5 linked regions of the Neurospora crassa OR74A genome follow. The protein of the gene in region 5 interacts with the protein of the main gene of each other region in a pairwise test. Links are inferred from orthologs where the notes say so. Each region holds a gene or a part of one and is shown on either strand. Other genes may lie near its edges. The genes, in order: NCU04461, NCU02693, NCU02624, NCU06207 and NCU06402.

What was found.
Region 1: the proteins of NCU06402 (region 5) and NCU04461 interact in binary tests that used the Saccharomyces cerevisiae proteins (3 or more experiments, as listed by UniProt). The link is inferred for Neurospora crassa OR74A from reciprocal best matches to the Saccharomyces cerevisiae genes ERG25 and ERG28.
Region 2: the proteins of NCU06402 (region 5) and NCU02693 interact in a two-hybrid assay, tested with the Saccharomyces cerevisiae proteins (2 studies listed by BioGRID, with this or other methods). The link is inferred for Neurospora crassa OR74A from reciprocal best matches to the Saccharomyces cerevisiae genes ERG25 and ERG26.
Region 3: the proteins of NCU06402 (region 5) and NCU02624 interact in binary tests that used the Saccharomyces cerevisiae proteins (3 or more experiments, as listed by UniProt). The link is inferred for Neurospora crassa OR74A from reciprocal best matches to the Saccharomyces cerevisiae genes ERG25 and ERG11.
Region 4: the proteins of NCU06402 (region 5) and NCU06207 interact in binary tests that used the Saccharomyces cerevisiae proteins (3 or more experiments, as listed by UniProt). The link is inferred for Neurospora crassa OR74A from reciprocal best matches to the Saccharomyces cerevisiae genes ERG25 and ERG3.

Annotation. Positions count from the first base shown.
Region 1 is NC_026504.1:3,278,977-3,282,881, reverse strand, and holds NCU04461 (transmembrane domain-containing protein), read right to left. Parts: upstream 2,280-3,905; 5' UTR 1,953-2,279; coding exon 1,887-1,952; intron 1,819-1,886; coding exon 1,357-1,818; 3' UTR 1,140-1,356; coding exon of another isoform or gene 916-1,139; 3' UTR 845-915; downstream 1-844. Other genes in the region: NCU04460 (galactose-1-phosphate uridylyltransferase), read left to right, coding at 43-844, 916-1,139; NCU04462 (3-ketoacyl-CoA reductase), read left to right, coding at 2,540-2,683, 2,755-3,609. UniProt on the Saccharomyces cerevisiae protein: Part of the third module of ergosterol biosynthesis pathway that includes the late steps of the pathway.
Region 2 is NC_026501.1:3,223,908-3,228,260, forward strand, and holds NCU02693 (C-3 sterol dehydrogenase/C-4 decarboxylase), read right to left. Parts: upstream 2,823-4,353; 5' UTR 2,623-2,822; coding exon 2,140-2,622; intron 2,064-2,139; coding exon 1,428-2,063; 3' UTR 1,000-1,427; downstream 1-999. Other genes in the region: NCU02692 (hypothetical protein), read left to right, coding at 1-893; NCU02694 (hypothetical protein), read left to right, coding at 3,808-4,353. UniProt on the Saccharomyces cerevisiae protein: Sterol-4-alpha-carboxylate 3-dehydrogenase; part of the third module of ergosterol biosynthesis pathway that includes the late steps of the pathway.
Region 3 is NC_026501.1:2,956,493-2,961,151, forward strand, and holds NCU02624 (cytochrome P450 51), read right to left. Parts: upstream 2,998-4,659; 5' UTR 2,730-2,997; coding exon 2,484-2,729; intron 2,412-2,483; coding exon 2,214-2,411; intron 2,152-2,213; coding exon 1,000-2,151; 3' UTR 379-999; downstream 1-378. Other genes in the region: NCU02625 (hypothetical protein), read right to left, coding at 4,549-4,659. UniProt on the Saccharomyces cerevisiae protein: Sterol 14alpha-demethylase that plays a critical role in the third module of ergosterol biosynthesis pathway, being ergosterol the major sterol component in fungal membranes that participates in a variety of functions.
Region 4 is NC_026503.1:1,911,388-1,916,303, reverse strand, and holds NCU06207 (C-5 sterol desaturase), read right to left. Parts: upstream 3,040-4,916; 5' UTR 2,312-3,039; coding exon 2,064-2,311; intron 1,997-2,063; coding exon 1,210-1,996; 3' UTR 142-1,209; downstream 1-141. Other genes in the region: NCU06206 (hypothetical protein), read right to left, coding at 4,250-4,916. UniProt on the Saccharomyces cerevisiae protein: C-5 sterol desaturase; part of the third module of ergosterol biosynthesis pathway that includes the late steps of the pathway. ERG3 catalyzes the introduction of a C-5 double bond in the B ring to produce 5-dehydroepisterol.
Region 5 is NC_026504.1:2,629,798-2,634,245, forward strand, and holds NCU06402 (C-4 methylsterol oxidase), read left to right. Parts: upstream 1-1,498; 5' UTR 1,499-1,742; coding exon 1,743-1,759; intron 1,760-1,836; coding exon 1,837-1,942; exon of another isoform or gene 1,943-2,017; coding exon 2,018-2,161; intron 2,162-2,223; coding exon 2,224-2,877; 3' UTR 2,878-3,446; downstream 3,447-4,448. Other genes in the region: NCU06401 (hypothetical protein), read right to left, coding at 3,463-3,675, 3,771-3,833.

The sequences.
Region 1 (3,905 bases), about 650 kb from region 5:
CATGACTTTATATTACTCTCACTCACTCTAACTGCAACCCAGTGCTACCTTTGCCCCGGCAACAAGCGCGCCCAAGGCGACTCCAACCCGCACTACAAAAACACATTCGCCTTCGTCAACGACTACAGCGCCGTCAAAGAGGAACAGCAAGAGTACCACCCTCGGAAGGACGCCGCTGGTGACGGCGACGATGACATTGCCTCTCTCCTCCTGCAAGCGCAGCCCGCCACCGGCCGGTGCTACGTGCTCACCTTCTCCGCCAAGCACGACACCACTTTGGCGGACATGAGCGCGACCGAGATCGTACCCGTGATCGAGACCTGGACGCGCATCTACGCCAGCCACCTGTCTGCCTCGCATCCGCTCAGGGACGCCGCCGCGCGTTCACTCAGCGAGATTCCACCTAACCCGGACGGCGAAGTCGAGCCCGCGAAAAAGCAGCAGCTGCGGTACATGCAGATCTTTGAGAACAAGGGCGCGGCCATGGGCTGCTCGAACCCGCATCCGCACTGCCAGATCTGGACGACGAGCACGCTGCCCGAGGAGCCGGGCAAGGAGCTGGCGCAGATGACCAAGTACCACCGTGAGCACAAGGGGAGGCATCTGCTGGAGGACTACGTCAAGGTGGAGATGGCCAAGGGCGAGCGTGTGGTTTGGCAGAACGACGGGTTCTTGGTCGTCTGCCCTTGGTGGGCTGTCTGGCCGTTTGAGGTGCTCGTCATTGCGAAGAGACATGTGCGCGCGCTGGTGGAGCTTACGAGCGAGGAGAGGCTGCAGTTTGCCGAGGCGGTGCAGGAGGTTACGAGAAGATATGATAACTTGTTCGAGACAAACTTTCCGTATAGTAAGTTCTACTACCCTCTGCAACTGCCCGAAGGAGAGAGAAAGGGAGAAAGGAGCTAACGGTATGAGAAGGCTCGGGTATTCATCAGGCGCCGTTGGATTGCACAGAGGAAGAGGCTGAGACGAGCTGGTTCCATATGCATTTCTACCCTCCACTTCTTCGGTCTGCTACCGTGCGCAAGTTCTTGGTCGGATACGAGTTAATGGCTGAGCCGCAGAGGGATATCACTCCGGAGCAAGCGGCTGCGCGACTCAGAGACTGCGGTGGTGAGCTCTATCGCAAGTCGTTGCAGTAGTGGAAATGTATGATGCGCTTGCTTCGCTTCTTGACCGAAAAGGGTATCAATAAGTGGTACATCTTCCACAAAGCCTATCGTCGGAGTCTTATTTCACCTAATACGCGATCGCGCTTCTTATGGTCATGATCCGAGTCCACTCGCCATTCCTTTTTGGGGGCCATGTACTGCTTCCTGCTTTGATTCCCAAAGACCAGCTGGTAGCTGCACCTGTCTTTTACTGGACGTAGTAACCATACTGCAACACCATCCACAACGTGCCGCCATACGCCGCCAAGAAGGGGAAGATCTGAGGTCCGCTGAAACGCAGCGTCTTGTAGATGAAGAACTCGCTCGTAAAGTGCACGGCGGCGATGACATGGGTCCAGATACCGAGCTTGTACAACGACTCGTTCTCGAGGTTGTAGCTCGCATAGAAGCGGATGATGCCGGCCATAAAGGTGTAGGTACCGAAGACGCGGGCCGCCAGCGGCGTGACTTGGTCCTTGGCAGCCGCCTCCTTCTTCTCCGCCTCTGAGGGCGAGACGGGCTTCAGCACGTCCACGCTGTCCTCCGGGCTGAATTTGCCCTTTGCGGGCGGCAGGGAAGGGTTGGGGACGAAACGGCCGTTGTAAAGGCGTCGCGTGTAGTGGAGAGTAGTGTAGTTTTGGAGGGCGTTTCCCATAGCTACGATGGAGACCTGGACGAAGGGCGTGTTAATTGCGAAACCATGTGAAGAGTCAGGGGGACCAGCAACCGTCAACTTACAAAGAAGAGGTAGTAGGGAAGGAGACCCTTCTCGCCCGAAGGCAGGAAAGCCTTGATAGCGTCCATTTGGTTCAAACAGTTATGAAGCGGTTTGTCGTCAGGGAAGAAAGCTATCGTAAGTCCAGGATATTTGTATTGAGAAGACCTTTTGTTGTTGAGGTGTTAGTTGCCCTTCCTGTTGCAGCTCTCCATTTGTTCCAGCGGCTCGAGGATCGGATGGAAACCACACTTCGGGCCACTCTCAAGCGCGAGAGACAGGGGTCATCGTAGCATCATGGACGCAGGTCCACGGGCATTGGACGACATTTTGGAGACAACAAACAAAATCCGCCAGGCTCCCCCTTCTCCTCTATCCATTGGCCCATGGCCAGCTCCGTCGGAGTTCAATGGCGGCGTCGAGTGAGTGATGGTTCGGCAAAAGCGGGGACAACCCAGCTGCCCAGGTCCTCTCGCCGGGGCCGCGGGGCGGGACGTCTCGAAAATCTTGGCGGCTGACACATGCAAGTGTACATAGTAGGCGAGTCGACCCCAGGTCCTCCAAAAAGTTCCCAACAATTATTTGCGACCGGACCCAACTTTGAAAGTGTCACAACTCCCCGATTCAAACCAAAGGCGTTCCTTCATCAACGACTTTCGCCGACAGTCCGTACGCAATGGATAAGGTTGCCGAGATCTGGGGCACTGTCCCTCAATATGGCCAATGGGCCCTTGCTGGCATCGGCGCCCTTTACGTCGCTACTCGCGTCGGCGCTTTCCTCCAGCTGCTCCTTAACGCTTTCATCCTGAGCGGCACCAACGTACGTCTCTTCGCAAACTTACTTGGGACTGAAGATTGTCAGGTGAATGTGGCTAACATCAACCTTGACAGCTCCGCAAGTATGGCAAGAAGGGCACCTGGGCTGTTATCACTGGTGCCTCCGATGGTCTCGGAAAGGAGTTCGCCCAGCAGCTCGCCTCCAAGGGCTTCAACCTCGTTCTCGTCTCTCGCACTCAGTCCAAGCTGGACGTCCTTGCTAGGGAGCTCGAGCTCAGATGGGATGGTTTCAAGGCCAAGACTTTCGCCATGGACTTCTCCAAGGACGACGATTCCGACTACGAGCGTCTCGCCGAGCTCATCAAGGGCCTCGACATTGGTATCTTGATCAACAACGTTGGCCAGTCCCACAGCATCCCCGTTCCTTTCCTCCAGACCGACCGCGACGAGCTCCAGAACATTGTCACCATCAACTGCCTCGGCACACTCAAGACCACCAAGGTTGTCGCTCCCATCCTCGCCCAGCGCAAGAAGGGTCTTATCCTTACCATGGGCTCTTTCGCCGGTGTTATGCCCACCCCCTACCTTGCCACCTACAGCGGCAGCAAGGCGTTCCTCCAGCACTGGAGCAGCGCTCTCTCTGCCGAGCTCAAGGACCAGGGCGTCGATGTCCACCTTGTTGTCAGCTACCTCGTTACCACTGCCATGAGCAAGATCCGCCGCACCAGCCTCCTCATCCCCAACCCCAAGCAGTTCGTCCGCGCTGCTCTCGGCAAGGTTGGCCTCAACAGCTCCGAGCCCTTTCCTAACACCTACACCCCCTGGTGGAGCCATGCTGTGTTCAAGTGGGTTGTTGAGAACACTGTCGGTGCCTACAGCTACTTTACCCTCAGGCTGAACAAGAACATGCACATCGACATCCGCAACCGCGCTCTCCGCAAGGCCGCTCGTGAAGCCAAGAAGCAGTAAGCGCATATCGCAGCTTCTAGCTACCATGTTTCTCACGTGAAGCTGGGAAGGAGCATGGACTTGTGGCATGATGGCTCTAGCCAAAAGACACATCCCATTGGCCTGCGTTACATCCACCCTTCGGACCCTGTATCTATTGTAGAGAAAATGAGAAACTTCGGCCCGTTGTTAGCAGACGAGTTCATAATGTGAGTGGAATGTACAGAAAGCTAAAAGATGATAATTGAACGATGATCATGAAGCAACCATATTTTTGCACAATGTATTTTTGGTACAGATCAAGAGCAGTTGCTGTC
Region 2 (4,353 bases), on a different chromosome or scaffold from region 5:
GGCCTGGACCTACTGGTGATGGTAGTAGTAACGATGACGACAATGATGACGATGGGGATGACGATGGGGATGACGATGGGGATGACGATGGGGATGAGGATGGGGATGAGGATATGAACTCAGAAGGAGACAGTGTTGATGGCGAAGATGATGGCGATGATGGCGAATATGATGGAGCAGCGGTCCCATCGAGTTCGGGATTACCGCACGACCCAGACGGCGATATATCCATGTCCGGCGCCGGCGCCGGCGCTGGGAATACCTCACCCACATCTACCCATAATTGTAACAGCAACAACAGCAGACGCAATGTACCAAAGAGGAAAGACCGCGTCAGCAAGACAACAACAACAACAACAACAACAAAACCGCCACAGGGCCTCTCCAAAACCTGGCGCTCCCTTCCCAAGCCGCAAACGGTTGTCCGCTGTCCGCCCATCAACTGGGCCCAGTACGCCATCGTAGGCGAGTCGCTTGATAAGCTGCACCGCGAGCAATTGACGGCGCCTACGCTGGGGGTACCTGCGGTTCTTAGTGTCGGGGGAGTATATGAATTCAGAGGGACAGCGGCGGCGGCAGCAGGAGCAGCACCAGGAGGGGGCGTTGTTAGCGTTGGTAATGGAAGTGGTTATGCCATGGGAGATACCACGGCAACAACAGACCGGACCTCTACGCCACCAACGACAACGATGGCGACCACGGCTGGAACAGAAGCGCAGCAGTCACCAGGGGAGACATTGGGACAGGGACAAGGGCAAGGGCAAGGACAAGGACAATTTCCAACACTAGGACGAAATGAACAATCGCAGAGATTGGTTGGTATTGCAGCGCCGTACACGCCTGGAAGAGATAAGATCGAGAGGACGACAGGCAGGAAAGGAGCCAAGCGCTGAACTTGACATTTCCTAAGACATATGAAGGAATTGAAGTGGCCTACGAAGGGGATAGCATGGCGTTAGGGTATCATGGTGTATGGGATTAGCAAGAGAATTAAGTTTAGCGAGCGATCAAGATCGGAATGCTTCTGTTAGTCACTTATGGACCGGTAACAGACCTAATCTAGAAACTACGTACACGCACCGGCATCATACTGTTCAGTCTGGGCTTTGTTGAAGGAGTTTCGTAGCTTCGCGTGACATGTTTAGCATCTGTCCGTGGATCAATATCCAGCTCACCCCTTCATCCGGCCAACATGTCTGAGAGAGGCATGCCTCGTCGTCCGTCATCCAAATGTCGTCATTAGATATTATTATACAGCGGGACAGATAGTACGGCGCGTTCCAGCACGCAAGGCCCGACTTATTTCGCCTCATCAGCGCTTGTCCAATGTTTCATATACAGTTATCATGCCTTCCGTCGATGTTTGCTTCTTTCACCACCACCACCACCACACCCTTTATCCCTTCCACATTCAAGGCCTGCTATACCTATTGCAACTTCTCCCCCTTCTGCTGCTCCAGCGTCCACTTAACCGACCTCTTCACCGCCTCATCCAATGGCACCAGCGGCTTATATCCCAACCGCTTCTTAGCCTTGGAAATATCGTAGTACCTCGTCATGCAGCTATAAATGATGCGCTGCCTATTAAACGTCGGCGGCTTGCGAATGATCCCAAAGAAGACTTCCGACAAAAAGCCCAGCACAATACCAACATCGCGCGGCAAAACCCACACGTGCTCAGTCCCATGGGGAGATCCCGCAGCGTTCCACACAGCCCGGCAGAAATCCCAAAAGTACACGGGCGAGTCGTTGGTAATGATGAAGGCCTCGCCATCGACGCGCTCATGGTCTAGTGGGGCGATCTTGAGCTTGGAGGTTTGGAGGAGGGCGACGGCGGCCAACAAGTGACCGTGCGCTACGTTCTCGACGTAGGTGAAGTCGAAGAGGTTATCGTTGTCGCCGACTTGAACCGAGGTCTTGCCGTTCTGGTACAGTTTGATTAGGTGGTACAGCGTCATGGTGTCGCCTTCGCCCATGATGCCTGAGGGACGGATGGAGCAGGTGAGCAGGGAAGGGGCGGCAGCGGAACGGTTGGCCTGGAGGACCAGTTCTTCGGCGGCGGCCTGGAGGGAGGGGGAGGTTAGTTTTGGGATGCATCACTCTTGGGGGATATGGGAGAGAGGGGAAGTAGGAGGGTACCTTTGTCTCCGAATAGTACTCGCTCTGCTGGGCTCCACGGATGACGGGCCAACGTTCGTCCGCATTGATGAGGTCGGACTTGTTATCACTCATCACACTGGCGGAACTGGTGTAGACGAGGGCGGTAACGCCCGTCTGCTGACACGCCTTGATGATGGCGGCGGTGCCGTCGACGTTGACCTTCTTGAACAGCGCATGAGAGACGCTGTCGTTGGACTGGGCGGCAGGCGACGCGGTGTGGATGACGACCTGGGGCTTGACCTGGTTGAAGATGGTTTCGAGCCTGGCGGGGTCTGTGATGTCGGCCTCGAAGTATTGGACGCCATCCGACTCGGGTCGCCGGTTCCGCGTGCAGCGTAGGTCGATGACGGAAACGGAGCAGATGTAGTCGCGGAGGAGCACGCGGACAACGTGGTGACCGAGGAAGCCACAGCCGCCAATCACCATGACGGAGCCAAGCTCCGGCTTCTTTTCTGAGGCCATCGTGGGATGTATGCGGGGTATCGACAAGGGAAGAGCAATGGATTGGAGCGTTGGGAGAAAGGCAGGAAAGATGGACTGAAGGAGGGTCAATTGGGAAACTGTCTAGTTCTAGAGCAAGGGACGTGGGATCATGGGTAGGATATCTTCGAAGCCGGGGGACAAGGATGCCATTTTGAGCTACAAATTGCAACCTATCAGGGACATGCCACTGTGTCTCTGGCTCCGCGTCTCGGCTCCAAGCACGCCACTTACAGTAATTTCCCCTCAAAGTGCATGCACCTGATAATGCATAAAGCCCTCTAGATGCGTAGAAATTGGCGGCCGCAATTAGTTGGTATGGGAAATCGCATAAGTGCTTGAATGCCCCTGTATGTGAAACGGCCGGCCATTTCGGTGTAATATGCACTATTTGGAACACCTTTTTCAGGGCCTTTTAGGACTTTATAGGCAAGCTAGCACTCTCTGAACCTCTGAAATTTTCATACTAAGGGAGCAAAAAGACTTGGCATGTGCCTGCTAGTGCATATGTGCCTCTAGATGCATATAAACCCCTGGCCCGGATTACATGCACTTTCAGGGGAAATTACTGTACCTAGCTCTTGACAGCCAGTGAGGTACGACACGGCGACACGCCTGTGGAAAACATCGTGACCCCTTTTTAAGAGGCTGGATTTTGGGCGGAACCTACAGAAGGGCAAAATGAAGGACCCCTGTTGTCCATCAAGGTCGACGGGGTGCGGCTCGCAGTGGACCTGAGTGGATGAAGGCGCACAGGGACCCGTGCTCTCCCATCTTCCAAGTTCCAACATCGTGAGACCTTGCCATAAAGGTGGAACCTAGTACTATCGATCCCGCCTGCACATAGAGGTACCCAACTGAATGCGACGGGCACGCGGTTTTCCATTTTTTTTTTGTTGCCAGATCCCGTCGTGCAGCCAGTCAACAATGCGCATTTGCTCCCTTTCGTTGTCCTCCCACAACGGCGTTTCTCTTCACTTCCACCTCGTAAGAATCTGGAACACTTTACTGTCTGTCAGGCAACAGCCTTCCATCCAGCGTCTCACCCTTACCCATAAACCCATGATCCAGCACACTTCCAACTTCTATATCTCGATTGCAACGCAGCCCAGCCCATTCCATGGCACTCGACAACCACAGCTTAAACTGGTGCCCTGACGCAGTGTGATGAACAAAAAATCCGCGACCGAAATCCTCGTCCATATCACAGCTCCTAGCAGATCGAAAGACGATGCCAACTATAGAGCACTCGCCAATGCATATAACAACTTTGAACCCACCACGCGCACATCCGTGTTCAGCAAGACAATATCACCAAATGTCGTAGTTCATCAGGCCGCCGTGCAGCCTCAGCCCGTTGGAAATGGCTCCCTAGGACCCTCCACGCAACCGGATCAGATCCTTCGGTCGTCTGAAGTAGCAGGATTTGTCGAAACACCGGTGTTATCGTGGCGCGATGCCGCGAACAATTTAGCATCGCCCAGCTTGCGGATGAGGCACGATGAGCCTAGCCAATACTCACAGGTTTCATGGCAACCTCCTGCAAGCGTTGTTCAAGATTCACTGCCAGACAATAATGTGACTTTGTCTCAGTTTTGCACACCGACAAGGCTGTTAGAGGACTATCTACATCCTGGTGATTCCAGTCAGTTTCTGTCGCCAGTCATAGAGAGGGCCCCGAGTGGACAGCAACCAACAGCCGCCCGGATCCAG
Region 3 (4,659 bases), on a different chromosome or scaffold from region 5:
AATCTCCACGTTTCAGTGCAGTGCAGTGATCTTCCAGCCATACCTCCACCATCCTCCGAGCATCTCTAACAACCATCACCTCCTCGCCGGCCTCATGAGCTGTGTGCTGTGGGCATCAGCAATCCTCGGAACCGTCTTGGCTGCGTTCAAGCATCCTCTATCTTATACTTCCATATCGCTTCGATCCGGCCTTCTATTTTCCACCAGTTGGCTGGGACCGAGTAAACCAGCAAATTCCTCACTACATAAGCTCTTCTCGTAGCAAACCCCCTTCAACTCCCTAGAAGTTATGGCTGTTGATTCGCTTAGGATTTATAACTACGTCAAGCCCCCCTCCCCCCTCCCCCCCCCCCCCTTTTTTTTTTTTTTTTTTTTTTTTTTGGGAAATGCCTAGATCTTAATAGCCCCCATGGACAACCCGCGGCGAGTGAATGAACTACGTACCCATAGCCATTCGGTCAGGCAAAGTTGTGTCATGATCGAGAACAGCATAACGAGTCACCGAAGAGGAAATGCATATTGCTCCTTCATTTCCTTCAACTGTTCACTCATTTCGGTGCAGGACACGTTTGGTGGTTGTCGGACTCGACTCGGATTATTTGACTCACCAACGCGAACTGGTGATGTTGTCCTTTCAGACTTTCGCAGATCTTCTTTTGGCTACTACAACCACACCTCCAACAACAACAACCAACACGTGCATAGAACAATCAAGAATGGATGTACTGTTCTTCGACAGTGAGGCCACCGTGTTCGTTCGTTGGTATTAGGTATTAGTTATAATGCAACTTCCTTTTCTTTCCCCTGAGTCTTCCTCGGGACACTCCTCCCATAAGGTCCATCGAGCTCTATTCTATCCTGTCTCCAAGAACACTCTTTTTCATGATTGATCAATCACGTCATTATATGCCGTAGACCCAGTTCCATAATTATAACAACTAAAACCAAAGAACGCCCATCTAAGCATCCACACCCTTCCTCACCACCACATCAGTGTCTTTACAACTGGCAACCCTCCCTCCTCTCCCAGTAAATCTTCGCCGGCTCAAGGGGCCTCGAGAAAAGCGAAGCGTAGTCGGTACCAATAACCTTATCGCTACCATCCACGTTCCTGAATTTGAAGTTACGAACAATAATAGCAAGGATAGTCTGCAGCTGCACATTGGCGAACTGCTCGCCAATGCAGCGGTGACGACCGGCGCCGAAGGGCAGATAAGGGGAGTTGGCGCCCTTGCTGACGAGACCGTAGCCGTAATCGATTTTCTCATCGTCCTCCTCGCTAGGGACGTTGCGAACAATTGTGGGCGCGAGGGGCGAGTCCTTCTCCCAGCGGTGGGGCTCCCAAAGGTCGGGCTGGGGGAAGTAGGACTCGTCCGTGGCGGAGACACCAGGGGCGGCGAGGAGGACGTGATCGGTCGGAATAACGTACTTGGTACCGGGGACGGGCATGGGCGTCTTGACGGCGCGCATGATGGAATGGATAGGGGCGTGGAGGCGGAGGGTTTCCTTGACAATGGCGGCGTGCAGGGGCAGCTTGGCGAGGTCCTCGTAGGTGAGTGGGGGGAGGTCGGCGCCGAGGTTCTTGACTTGTTCGTTGTAGAGATCCTCCATGATGTCGGGGCGGGAGGCGAGGCGGAGCATGATCCACGAGCTGGTGGAGGACGAAGAATGCTGGCCGGCCATGAGGAGGGCGATCATCATGTGGGCGATCTCGTGGTCGGGAACGGGGACGTCGCCCTTGTAGGTCGAGTTCATCAGGTGCCACATAATGTCCTGGGCGCCAGTCTCGCCGCGAGCGCGACGCTCCTTGATGGTGTCCATGTAGATCTTAGCAACGGTACGCTGGGCGTAGTCGCGACGGTTGTTCCAGGGAAGAGGGGCCCAGTGAAGCATGAAGTTGATGGGAGAGAAACCCATGTCGAGGTCGTGGTATAGGTCGGCAAGCGTCTCGTCGAACTTGTCGCGAATCTCCTTGCCCTGAAGAGCGTGCGAGGCGGTGAAGATGGTGATCTGCGCCATCTTGGGGGGAATATCGACGATGCCGGATTTTCCCTTGAAGTCGGCGGTTCTCTTGAGGTAGCTGGTAACCTCATCGGAGATGATGGGGACATATTGGCGGAAAGCTTCGGTGGTGAGCGCAATTTTCATGAACTTGTGAAAACCGTATGTTAGCACACTCTTTACCACCTCCATATGTTGTTGCCTCTGCTAACCTTCTTCTGCTCCATAAGCTTGGAGTTGGGGCAATCGTAGACGACGTCCTTGCCGAAAACAGGGGTAGTAAGGACGGTGTAAATCTCTTCGGCGTTGACATCGCGAATTTTGCCGTTCAAGATAAAGTCATTGCCCTTGGGGCCGACGTAGACAGTAGTCTTCTTTCCGAGGAGGATGAAGGTGAAGCAATCGCCGTACTGTTCGAGCGCCGAGATCGTTAGCAAGCCAAGTTCGCGCGTAGCCCAACAGGAGGCGGTTGGAGGATTTACCTTTTCCCTGTTCTCCTTGAAGAAACGCGGCGGGTCCATACCATACGTAATGGTGCTGCCGATGAGAGGAAACCAGTGGAAGACGAGAGGCGGCTCATTAGGCTTTTTGAAGAGGAACTGCTGGAGGACGTTGAGGACGACGGCAACAAACAAAAAGGAGGCGATCGCGACACCAATTTGCGACACCGTCCCCAGCTGGGAAAACTGCTGGGACAGCGGTCCCGCAACGACTTGCAGGATGCCCATGGTTGGAGAAGGAGGCGGGGAGAAGGCGTGGAGGGGAACGAAGCCAAAGTCGTGGACGCCGGCAGCAAACAAGCAAGAAAATGAATGTAGCCTGAGGAGGGGGGGTAAAAGGGGAGAAGATGGGCGACGCGACTTGATTTTATAAAGTCGGTCGATGGTTGGCGGTTATCGTAGCCTTTCCCTCTCTGGCTACGACCTATCCTAGCGATAGGCTGATAGGGGAGGGGAGGTCTACCCACCTAGCTAGGGACCAAGGGCAGTGCAGTGGTAGTGTAAAACTGGGGTGACAGCAGCACACTTTCACCAGCTTGGTGAAGCTCAGGGACCACCTCACCTTTCGGGAGCAGCTTTCCCTCCGGGCGAATAGGAGTTGGGCAGTCTGATGTCTCCCAGCCAATCATAAGAGCAGGGGCAACGCATTCGTATTCGGATTTTTGGTTGGACGGTACGTACCCTCTCCAGATCATCCAAACTAACCTATCCTTGCCGCACTGGCAACCTCAGCCCAAGATCATGCCATGGGGGAAATCGCATCTGACGGTTTCCACCATGGAAAGAGACGATTGGAGCTCTTCAGCCATGCTGTTTTGGTCTTGCAAAGGAAATGGGATGCAGACAGGGTAATGTCATGCTTGAATGGAAATCCTAACGTCTTCAGAACGCGGCGAGTACGAAGGAATACATATGAATGCCTGACTGCAGATGCAGGGCAGCGATGAACAGATATGATAATATGCATACTACTTGAATGGCCGCTATCTACATACTTCACCCCTTTCAAACATCTCACCAATTCCCAACTCGCAAGCAAAAGTATCTAACATTCCGTGCTTTGTTGAAAGAAACTTGGTCAAATACTAAAAAAGGGGTCAAGCTGGAGTTCAACGGAGCCATCTCTTGGCATTCGAGGTTGTGCTTTGCCACAGCGGCTACTCCCGCTCTCGTCTCAATCCCGCCCAAGCAAGTCATCTTGCGTCGTCCCTCGCCTTTGCTGACCACCACTATCTTTCTAGCCTATGAAAATATATTAAAAAAGGAACCAAAGAAACACGTGGAGTTCGCTATTGTTATAGTGAGGTAGTGCAATGGCGTCATCAAACGATTACGCAAACGTATTCGAATCCATGGTTTGATAGACTCATGATCGAAAATCTGTTGCTGCCGGTTCGAATATGTATGTATAGAGTAAATATATTTATTTGTTGTCTGAATCAGGTGGCTTGGTATCTTCCAATACTATGAGGCAGGTTTCCAACCGAGCCCTTTGTCACTCTACACAAAACCAACCAAATGCATTGACTTGCTTGGTTCAGACATGCAAGAAAACAGAAAAAAAAAAAAAAAAAAAAAAAAAAAAAAAAAAAAAAATCAATGCTGATTCTGACAGGAAGCCGGGACATGTTCTATCTGACATCGAAAGAAGAAAACCCATACGAAGGAATAGAGAAAAGCTTGAGTGAATGCGTGTTATGTGGTATCATGAGTGCCCTATCCCAAGAATCCCGGAATGATCAATGCTCCCCCCTTCCCCTTTTTTGTTACCCCGAAAATGAAAGTGTAACTCCTGGTTGAACGCCGTCCAAAATGCGAAAAGCTGCAAAGAATAAGCGCTATGACTGGCAAGTTTGTTGTTGTGGTTGTTGTTGGTTGTGGTTGTGGTTGTGATTGTTGATGTTGATGCTTCGGAAGCTGTGGCGTTCCTTGCTTATGGTTCATACATCACCCGTTGTCTCGTTCTTGGTCATTTCTTTCGAAAGAAAAGTCCCCTGATATCTGATGTGAGTCCATCCATCGTTGGCCTCGCAATAACAGCACCGCATCACGAAGAAACCCCCCTCCACCCATACCCCCCATCAATATTAACCCAATTGCCCTTCTCCATCGCACTCTCCCAGCCCATCATGACCGCCAGCAACCTGCACCCCACAGC
Region 4 (4,916 bases), on a different chromosome or scaffold from region 5:
TCCCTGTCGACTCCCTTCTGTATAGTGCCCCCTCACTACCTCACATCTGCGTGCTGTCGAATTTCCAATCTACTCTCAGCGAACCCTATAGTTCTGCTCCTCTTTTGCACGAGGTTCTAACTTGAGATCATACTATCCAAAGCGGAAGTGACAGGAGGCCTCCAGTTTCGCTTATCTCCGGTTCAACGGGGGCGTTCCAAGCTCAGAAGCAATCTTAGCGTTTGCTTGGCCTTCTAATTTATGTTGTACCTATGGTCTTGTGTTGTGTGGCTTGGCCATTTCGTTTCGGTTTACTCATATATGTGATGCCTCGCCTTGTTCCCTTGAAGATGTCAGGAAAGCAAGACATGCTAGTAACACTGGTCATACCTACCAGGATACTGAATTTGGAAGTACATGTCGCCTGTGCCATAGTGGAGCGATGGGTTGTTGTATGACTTGGGGACAGTGACCGCCTAGGTTTGTGTTGTTTACTCGGAGGCTGGCTCTCATCCTTTGAGAACTATCTTCTTGTGTTCTTTGCCTGTCTGTGTCATTATATATGGTCATCTGAACGGCAACCTTTCCAGCATATGTTTCATTGCCTCGAGGGACAACAGATAGATCCGTACATGATGCGTATGTGCAAAGATGCGGGTATATATAAAATGATATAAAGTATGTACAACGAGTAGGTTATTAGAATCCTTCTAATGGACAAACAGTGAGTGACCACTGTTTTTGTTTTTCTTGAATGTGTTGTTATTAGCTCCATCCGTCCCAATCCAGTTACCTATATTCAGTCATTCCATCATTTGGTTTATGAGACTAACTCCTCCTTCATGGTGGGTACTGTATTATAGTACCCTCTTGCCTTTTGTTAAGCTGGTCCGGCGCGGCGGGTTTCCAGATGGTATACATCCGTATCCAATGTGGTGTACCGCCGTTCTCGTTCGTGTGTTGAGTTGTCATCGACCGCCGTCCGTGCCACCATCCCACATCGCATGAAGGGTCGCAGATCCTTGGTGTCAGCCAACCATTCAACCCGGGTCCCTGATCCAGGACCATAAGACCGGGTGGCTTGGTCTTGGCCGGATGACGCTGATTCGTTAATCCCATTTGTCCTTTTTTCTTTTTCTTTTTTTTTTCCTTCCCTTGAGGGAGAAAAAAATGACATCAACCAGAACTGGTGAGATTTCTATTCCTCCTCGTTTTTTCTCGCACTTCACTCTATTTCGACTTCTTAGTCTCGGTCGGCTCGTAAAGCCGATCATCCTCACCCTCCACCTCCTTGACAATCTTCTCCATCTCGTTGACCTGCTTCTTCCACGTCGTTGTGCTCATCTTCTTCTCCTTCGCGAACATGTCACCGTCGGGCTCCCTGTAGCTGCCGCCGAGGCGGTCCCACAGCGTGGTGAACTGGCCGTAGTTGTAGTTGAAGGCGAAGTGGTGAACCGAGTGGCAGGCGGCACCGTTGATCACGGGGTTATTGGCATAGTACTCGCCGTCGTGGATCATGATGGTCCAGAAGTTGATAAACACGAAAAGGCCGACGTACGCCATCTTCTGGAGCGGAAAGATAAAGGGGAAAATGTGGTAGGGGATGCTCTGGGCGAAACCGTCGATGGGGTGGAAGGCGTGGCTGGCATAGGGAGTTGGCATGATCCACTTGTGGTGAGGCTTGTGCAGGTGCTTGTACACGAGCGGGTGGTGAAGGCCACGGTGGATCCAGTAGATGCCAAAATCGGTGAACATGATGAAGAGTGGGAACTGGAAGAAGTCGTACCAGCGACCAGGACCCTCGGCCGTGGTGTCGTAGAGGAGTGAGTAACCGCGCACTTCGGCAACCAGGAAGGGGAATGTGAAGAACGCCATGACGGGCAGGGCGGCGTTGGTCTGCTTGATCTCGAGCCAGACCTGGTTCTTAAGGAACTTGGGGTGCTCCATAGTCTTCTTGTCGAAGACGAAGATGTAGGAGAGGGAGGCGAAGACGTAGTAGGTTACGAGACCGAAGAGCCTGTGTGTAAGCCAAGGTTAGCGTGTTTGCGCCCAACTCGAACATGAAAAAAGGGGTTTGCGCGCACCATAGTATTAAAAAGAGCGATAGAGCCTGACGGTAGATGTTGTCTCTTGTCCAGATACTCTGGTAGGCCGCCTGCGAAGGCTCGAGCGAGAAGAACTTGGTCGCGGGCTCATACACCCAGGACGAGAAAGCTTGTGCGGTGCCATTGGTCTTGTCGGGGAAATCATAGAGAGCAGGTCGTGCTGGTAGTAGCCAGGCGTACATGTAATCGAACATGAACTGGTCGGTGACCTCGAGGACCACGTCCATCTTGACGGTGGTTGTTGGGCTTGCGCGCCAAAGAAGGGATAATCAAGTTGAGTAACAGCAAGCCGAGCAAGCTTTGTGTTCCAGGCCCGGATCAAGACCGTGTCGGGTGCCTGTAGATAAGCAACAAGGGGGAGAAAGGCGTGGGTCCTGGTGGGTAGCCAAAAGGAATGATGGAATGAAGGACCGACACCGGGAAGAGACCGCGGCGCAGAAGGTTTAAAAAGAAAACAGAAGAACACGATGAATAATGGGAAAGAAAGAGTGTGCCGCGAATCCGATACAAGATGTGTCGCTGGCAATAAAGTGACAGGCCCAATTTCTCATGTCATAACCACCCCTGAACGATCGGCTTCCCGAACGAGCGTCGCGTCGAAAACAAGCGGACCTTCGTCGAGCGTGCCAAGGCCCGGGGACGAGGGTAGTTGTCCTTGCTGGCCCCGTAAATCCGTGGGCTGCTCCGAACAAGGACAACAGAAGCTCTCTCGCACGCCTGCGATAACGGTGCAGTGACAAGCGAACGGGTTGGATTCTGAGTGAAGACAGGCATTCTTGAAGGTGGAAGATAAGTAAACAGATATCTGCAGTAATTTGTAGCTTGAGCGTCACAGGCCAGCAGGAATGCGGAATATTTGCTTCCCACAATGAGCTTCGTTGTTGAACAATCCATCAACATCATCATCGCCAATAACCCCTTTTTTTTTCAGTTTTGCCCCAAGATCTAATCAAATCTGGGCCCCGAATGGGCCGCTCGTCTTGCCATCTCCGCACCGTGAGTGGTGGTGGTGGTGAGACGGGAGGTCTTCTAAGGGAAGCCCGGACCCATCCGAGAACCTCTTTTTTTTCTTTCCTCCACCAACGACGGGAACGTCAGAGATTCCGAATGGATCCACCCGTCTTTGCATTCTTCGACCGTACCTTCCTCTTGCCTCTCTGAAATGTTCTTCAATTGCTTTTACAATAGCTCGCCAAACGAAGAAAAGCGTTGTATGCTCTCACATCGCAAGTTGGCAATAACAAAATGGGCTGTCAACCCAACGTCTTGTCCTCGACGTTGCATGATGGGTGGCACGTTTGACAAGAAGCTGATCTCGACAGCACAAGGGACCTTGATTGAGCTCCGTGATTGGATGGCCCAGCCAAGTCACTGAATGCAAGAAAGCCGAAAGTGATTCAATGGAGAACGCTTGACTCTCGGAAGCAGGAAGATGCGAACGACCAAAATGGCGTGGTTTTGGAACGATCCGGAGCCGTGAGAAACCCCTCCACCTGTCCCCACTCTTTCTTCCCCACAGCAAGATCTTATCTGGTAAAGGATACAACTGATTCATTGGTGACCTGACCTGGCTCCTCGAACGCCCCTCATTTAAAAGTCAGGTACAACTTGTCACAATCCCAAGACTTGGGATCAAAGAGATCTCCCGCTGTTCAAGTCGCTAACTGTCATCTGCTTTTTGCCAAATGCAAGATCCGCGACGAACAACGGTGAAGAAAAGAGTGATGAAGATCCCATTTGTCTCCAGTGGTCGATTTCGAACATTTTCCACAAAGGCATGGGCACCACTGGTTTTATCAGATGCGCCCAGAGTGAGTTGGCTGACTGTTGTTGGATGGAGCTAGAGATCTTGATCTCCAATACATACAAAAGACCACAATTGCCTACCGAGTTCTCAGAGAGTACACCACCACATGGAACCCCATTCCATCAGCCAAATGGCTTTGGGCAAGTGAATTACTATCAAGGGTCTTGCAGCAACATTATTTCAGGGGTGAATGCAAAAAACGGAACTTGAAGTTCAACAAAGAGCCACCGTTTGAGCTAAACTCTGTTGTTACCCTGTTGTTACCCAAATATTCAACCTCTAACCACGTGTTGATATCCAGCTTCGATCCATCGTCGATCCAGACATCTCCCCTCCCACAGAAACACAATCCCACTCCTCACTCCTCGTCCTCTTCCACCCAAGTCTTATCATCCATCGAAAGCTTCATATCAACATGTTGCGATTCCGGAATGTCGACAACCGGAACGGGAAGCACAGCAGCAGGTGTTGTCGTCGTCGTCTTCTCCTCCCCCTCATAGAAAGAGCGAGGAACTAAAATCCACAGACAAAACAGTATTAACAAACTGTCAAGAAGAACCCAGGAAATATCAACATCCGTAAATCCCTTACCAAAACTCGAAGCACCAGCAGCACCCTTCGCCCCTTCCGCCATCCCGGTGCCCTGACACTGACACTGAGCTGCCGCCGCGCCCGCGCCCGCGCCCGTCGTGGTTTGCAGCGTGCACATAGACAACGCAAAAAGCGTGACGGAAATAGTCAGCAGAACGGCGTGGACGAGCCAAATCCAGCGGTCCCAAAAGCCTCTTCCATGTTCTCGGCTGCCGTCGACACGAGTATTGCCGCTGTTGTGGTGGCGGCTATCGTCGTTTAGCCACCATCTTTGAGGTAGTCTCCACAAAGCAGACAAGGGAGAAGAGTGAGAGGGTGCGGCAACGGCGGCGCTTCGGACGGGGACGCTGAACCAGGGCGCCTTCTTTTCTTGGAGGTAGTCCTGGGATTCGAGGTCGTCGTCCAGCGGAACGGTGTAGTAGAGGTTCTTGTTG
Region 5 (4,448 bases):
CCGTTTTAGTGGTGTGGCCGTGTTATTCGTGAGCACCCACTTAGGTGGGTGCGAGTTTGCGAGTCCCAAAAAAGTGGGGGCGTAGTACGGGTACCGGATGTGAAGATTGCCGAGATGGTCGGTTCTTGTTCAAGGCTTTGGGCTGTCACTGTCAAACCCGGAAATGTGGGATGAGGTGGGGATGTTTCTTTGGGCTTGACAAGCGGGGCGGGCGGGCGTCCGAAACCCACCGAGTGATGATCGATGACAGGATTGGTAAGGCGGGGATGGGAGCCGACTGACTTGCAACTTGGTTCGGCTGCGATCCGGCCAAAGGAGAAATGCGTGGTAAGATGAGGACAGTTGAGCCTCATCAATGAATGACCTGATGAGTTGATGACCTATTGTCGGCAAGATGTACACGTGTAGTTGCCGAGGAGAGGTGCGACAGAATATTGTAGTCAGACACAACCAAATGAAGGTCGAATCGAAGCTCAAATGTCAGCCTATGATGTCCAAGGATGGATTGAAGATGCCAAGCCCAACTTTCAAAGGCGGTGACAAACTGCCGATGCCAAAAGCCTCAAGTGGTCAACCACGGCATTGAAGTCAGGGACACAACTCGTAGTTTGGCAATGTTCTCTGAGCCATTACGGAATACCAGATGTTTTGCAAACATACCAGTCTGTGAAAGCATCCACGAACGAGCTTTGGGGAAAAAAGTGACGATCCCATTAAAACGTAGCGTAGCTGCTCCGCCCGCTGTCGCCGCTCAGGTACGTACCGTATGGAAATTACCGATGCCAACTGTGCCAGTTCGCCGTCAGTGGCTCAACGTGCCAATCCAACTGGTCCATCACGCCAACCCCCCTGGCGACCTGATTTGCCTGGGTGGTGCATGGCAGGATGGCAACGAACCAGCCGAAGAAGAGGTGGGATCACGGTGTGGATGCAATCGTTCCATATCACTGGCAAACTCCGGGCAATTCGAGGTTCTCGATGGGAGATTCCATGTCAAAGGGATGGAGATGTGTGTTGTATGGTAAACTACAGTAGCCTTTTGTTGTCAGTCAGCCGACCTCTACTAGTGTACCAACCGCAGTGGTGAGGCACGGTAAGTAGTGTACAGGTATGTATGAAAAAGTTATGGTTGAGATCAATACCACACACATGCCGCCGTATCTCCGCGTAGATCACTTCAACTTCCATTCCTTATCTGATGGAACTTCGCCCTCAGTTTCCCACCTCGCGGTGACGTGGTCAGTGCCTGTCACCCAAGGAACTCAAAAGATAGGAGCCCAAGGAGGAACAATGGCACATCTCAATGCACGGCAGAGCATGGTGTTGGGATTTCATTGCTTGGCGGGCTCTCAGTTTCATTGAGCACTCGCTGAGAGTCGCCGTCCGGTCATTCGAACTTGGTGAAACAACATCCAAGAGTGGGTCCGGAAGGCGGAAACAACAGCTTCGCAGTGGGCCGATTCTGGGGTCATTCCCGCCATTGGTCAACCCAACACGTCTCTCAGGGGCTCCCGCCAAAGGACACCAAAGGCAAAAGGACTTTAAAAAATCCAGCAACCCCTAAACTTGTCAGTCGCCTTTCCCTAGCATCCCACTTGCAAGAGGACGCGGTCGATTGTTTCTTTTTCTTGCCCCGGTTTCCTCCACGCGCATAGTATCTTCTTTCCTCGCTACAGGTCCCTCCTCGCGTTCCAACACCCAGCAACACCTAATTGGAGGCGCCTATTCTCTATTCGCCCACCATGGCTTCGGCAGTCCTGTACGTTCTTGTTTACCATCGTGCGCCTGTCAACCGTGCCCAGATCGAAAGCTGACTCGTATCGTCCCGTCATCTAGTAATGCGACCGTCGCTGGCCTGAGCTCGACAGACACGTACTTCACCGTCTTGGAGGAGGTTTCCAAGTACAATGTTCAGCTGAGCTACCCCGAGAAGCTCTGGGCGGTACGCGGCCCCTGCAACCCAACCCCGAAACGCCGGGACGAGACACGAACAAGGATAGCTAACGTTGGACGATAGGCGTGGTATCTGTGGATGCAGAACGACGTTCTCGCGACCGGTCTCATGAGCTTCTTCATGCACGAGATCGTCTACTTCGGCAGGTCGCTCCCGTGGATGATCATCGATGCTCTCCCCATGTTCAACAAGTACAAGATTCAAAAAGTTAGTGCCCAGCCAAGCATGACCTGAGACTCAAAAAGCAAAAGAAACTAACAACCACATAGGAAAAACGCCCCACCTGGAGGGAACAGTTCGAGTGCGCCGGTCTCGTTCTCCTCAGCCACTGCACCGTCGAACTCCCTCAGATCTGGCTCTTCCACCCCATCGCCACCTACTTTGGTCTCGACTATGGCGTGCCCTTCCCTCCTCTTTGGAAGATGGCCCTTCACATCTGCATCTTCTTCGTCATGGAGGATGCTTGGCACTATTGGAACCACCGCGCGCTTCACTACGGCCCTCTCTACAAGGCCATCCACAAGATTCACCACACGTACAGCGCGCCCTTTGGTCTCACCGCCGAGTACGCCTCCCCCATTGAGGTTATGCTCCTCGGTATTGGTACTGTAGGATCCCCCATCCTCTGGGTTTCCATCACCAAGGACCTCCATCTCGCCACCATGTATGTCTGGATTGTCCTCCGTCTCTTCCAGGCCATCGACGCCCATTCCGGCTATGACTTCCCCTTCAGCTTGCGCCACTTCCTCCCCTTCTGGTGCGGTGCTGAGCACCACGATCTCCACCACGAGCGCTTCATCGGCAACTATGCCTCCAGCTTCCGCTGGTGGGATTACTGCCTCGACACCGAGGCCGGTGAGGAAGCTGCCAAGGCTCGCCGTGACAAGAAGCTTGCGGCCATCAAGGCCAAGAAGGCCCAGTAAATGGGTGGAGTTTATGGATCCGCTGTTATGATACCGTTCACGGTATTCGTACTGTTGTCTTCCAAGGTCTTCTATTCGACCTCACTAATTTTGGACAACGCATCACCAAACAACGGGGAAGAAGGAAGGGAAGAACCACCTAACGATGGGAATTGGTCCATGAGACAAATCAGGGAAATAAGGATTCGATAAAGGCCAGAAACGGGTTGGTTTATTTTGGCTGAAAGATAAGAAGAGAGGTGCGGTTTTGGTCGAACACGGACCAACCGATGCACACCTCCATGCAAAAAAGGCGTTTGGAAGAGGAAGAGAGTTGCGTCGCACCTTTCTTGCCGTACGCACGCGGTGGTGCAGTTGGGGAGGGGGGCATTTTCCTTCTCGCTTCTATTAATTCTTGTACATAGCTGATTCCTTCTTTCGGCGTCCTCCTCGGCAAAGCACCACCCCGTGCCCAGCCCTCTACCCCTTCCATACAAAGCCCTTTTGATAATCTAGTAATGAGAGGATCATGAAAGTAAAATACATAACCTAGATACACTTACATACACCCTTGATGACTCCTGAGTGAAGCTTCTGTCAATTACTTCACTTCTTAAGGTGCGTAGGCGTGCAGCAATCACCAGACGAAGCCACGGCCCGGTCGGTCAAGTTGGGCATGGCGCAGCTGGCGCCAGCTTCCGGCTCAGTCTCGCCAAAGTCTTTGGCCAAGGAGTCGCAGATAGTAGCTAGTTCAATGTCCAGGGATGAGAGACCTTTGGGGACGTGAGTCGTCCAGCGAATGAAGGTTGTGTTGAAGACCTAGGCAGGGGCGGTGAGATTAGAGAGGAAGATAAGAGGGAGAGGATATGTGGCAAAAGAGAGCATGTAGAGGAGAGAGAGAGGATGTGGCTTACATTGGACCATTCGGGATGGTGGTTCTTGAGCTTGCATTGCAGGGAGACGGCAGTCATAAAGTCCTAATTGGGAGGCGTCGAGATTAGGATCTTGGTTATAACTCGGAATTATCTGAGTCTCTGGGTGTGTAACACAGTCTTGCATGCCCTATGAGACACGCTCGGTATATTGTAGCCACGCAAATCGTGAGTAATAATGGGGTCGGAGCTGTGTGCAACAAGGAGAAAACGAAGAAAAGAGCAATCATATATGGGAGGGGGGGGGGTGCATAGTAAAGATAAAGCAAGAGCCCGAATTTCAAAACCCATCCAAGAGTCCAAATCGGACGAGAATAAGCACTTCAGCCAGATAGACATAGTAGAGAGGTAGGTAGGTATATCAGATACCTTATCCGTCATAACTGGCTGGCTGGCTGGCTGGCTGGCGTCGCAGCTCGGTTTCTTTCTTTCATTTGTCCGTTCGGATTTTCCTTCATCATCAACACCACTTGTGCGTGCATGTATGTGATTTGACCATCCAAATCCGAAGCAAATCCCAACAAATGCGATGACACAGATACAGGTCGGTAGGTGATTTTTGAAGAAAGAAGGATAGACAAGTAGCCATGAAAACAAAAAGGTACCACAAACACTTCAACCACCCAAACGAAGAAAAGTCATTTCACTCAACAAAAAGTA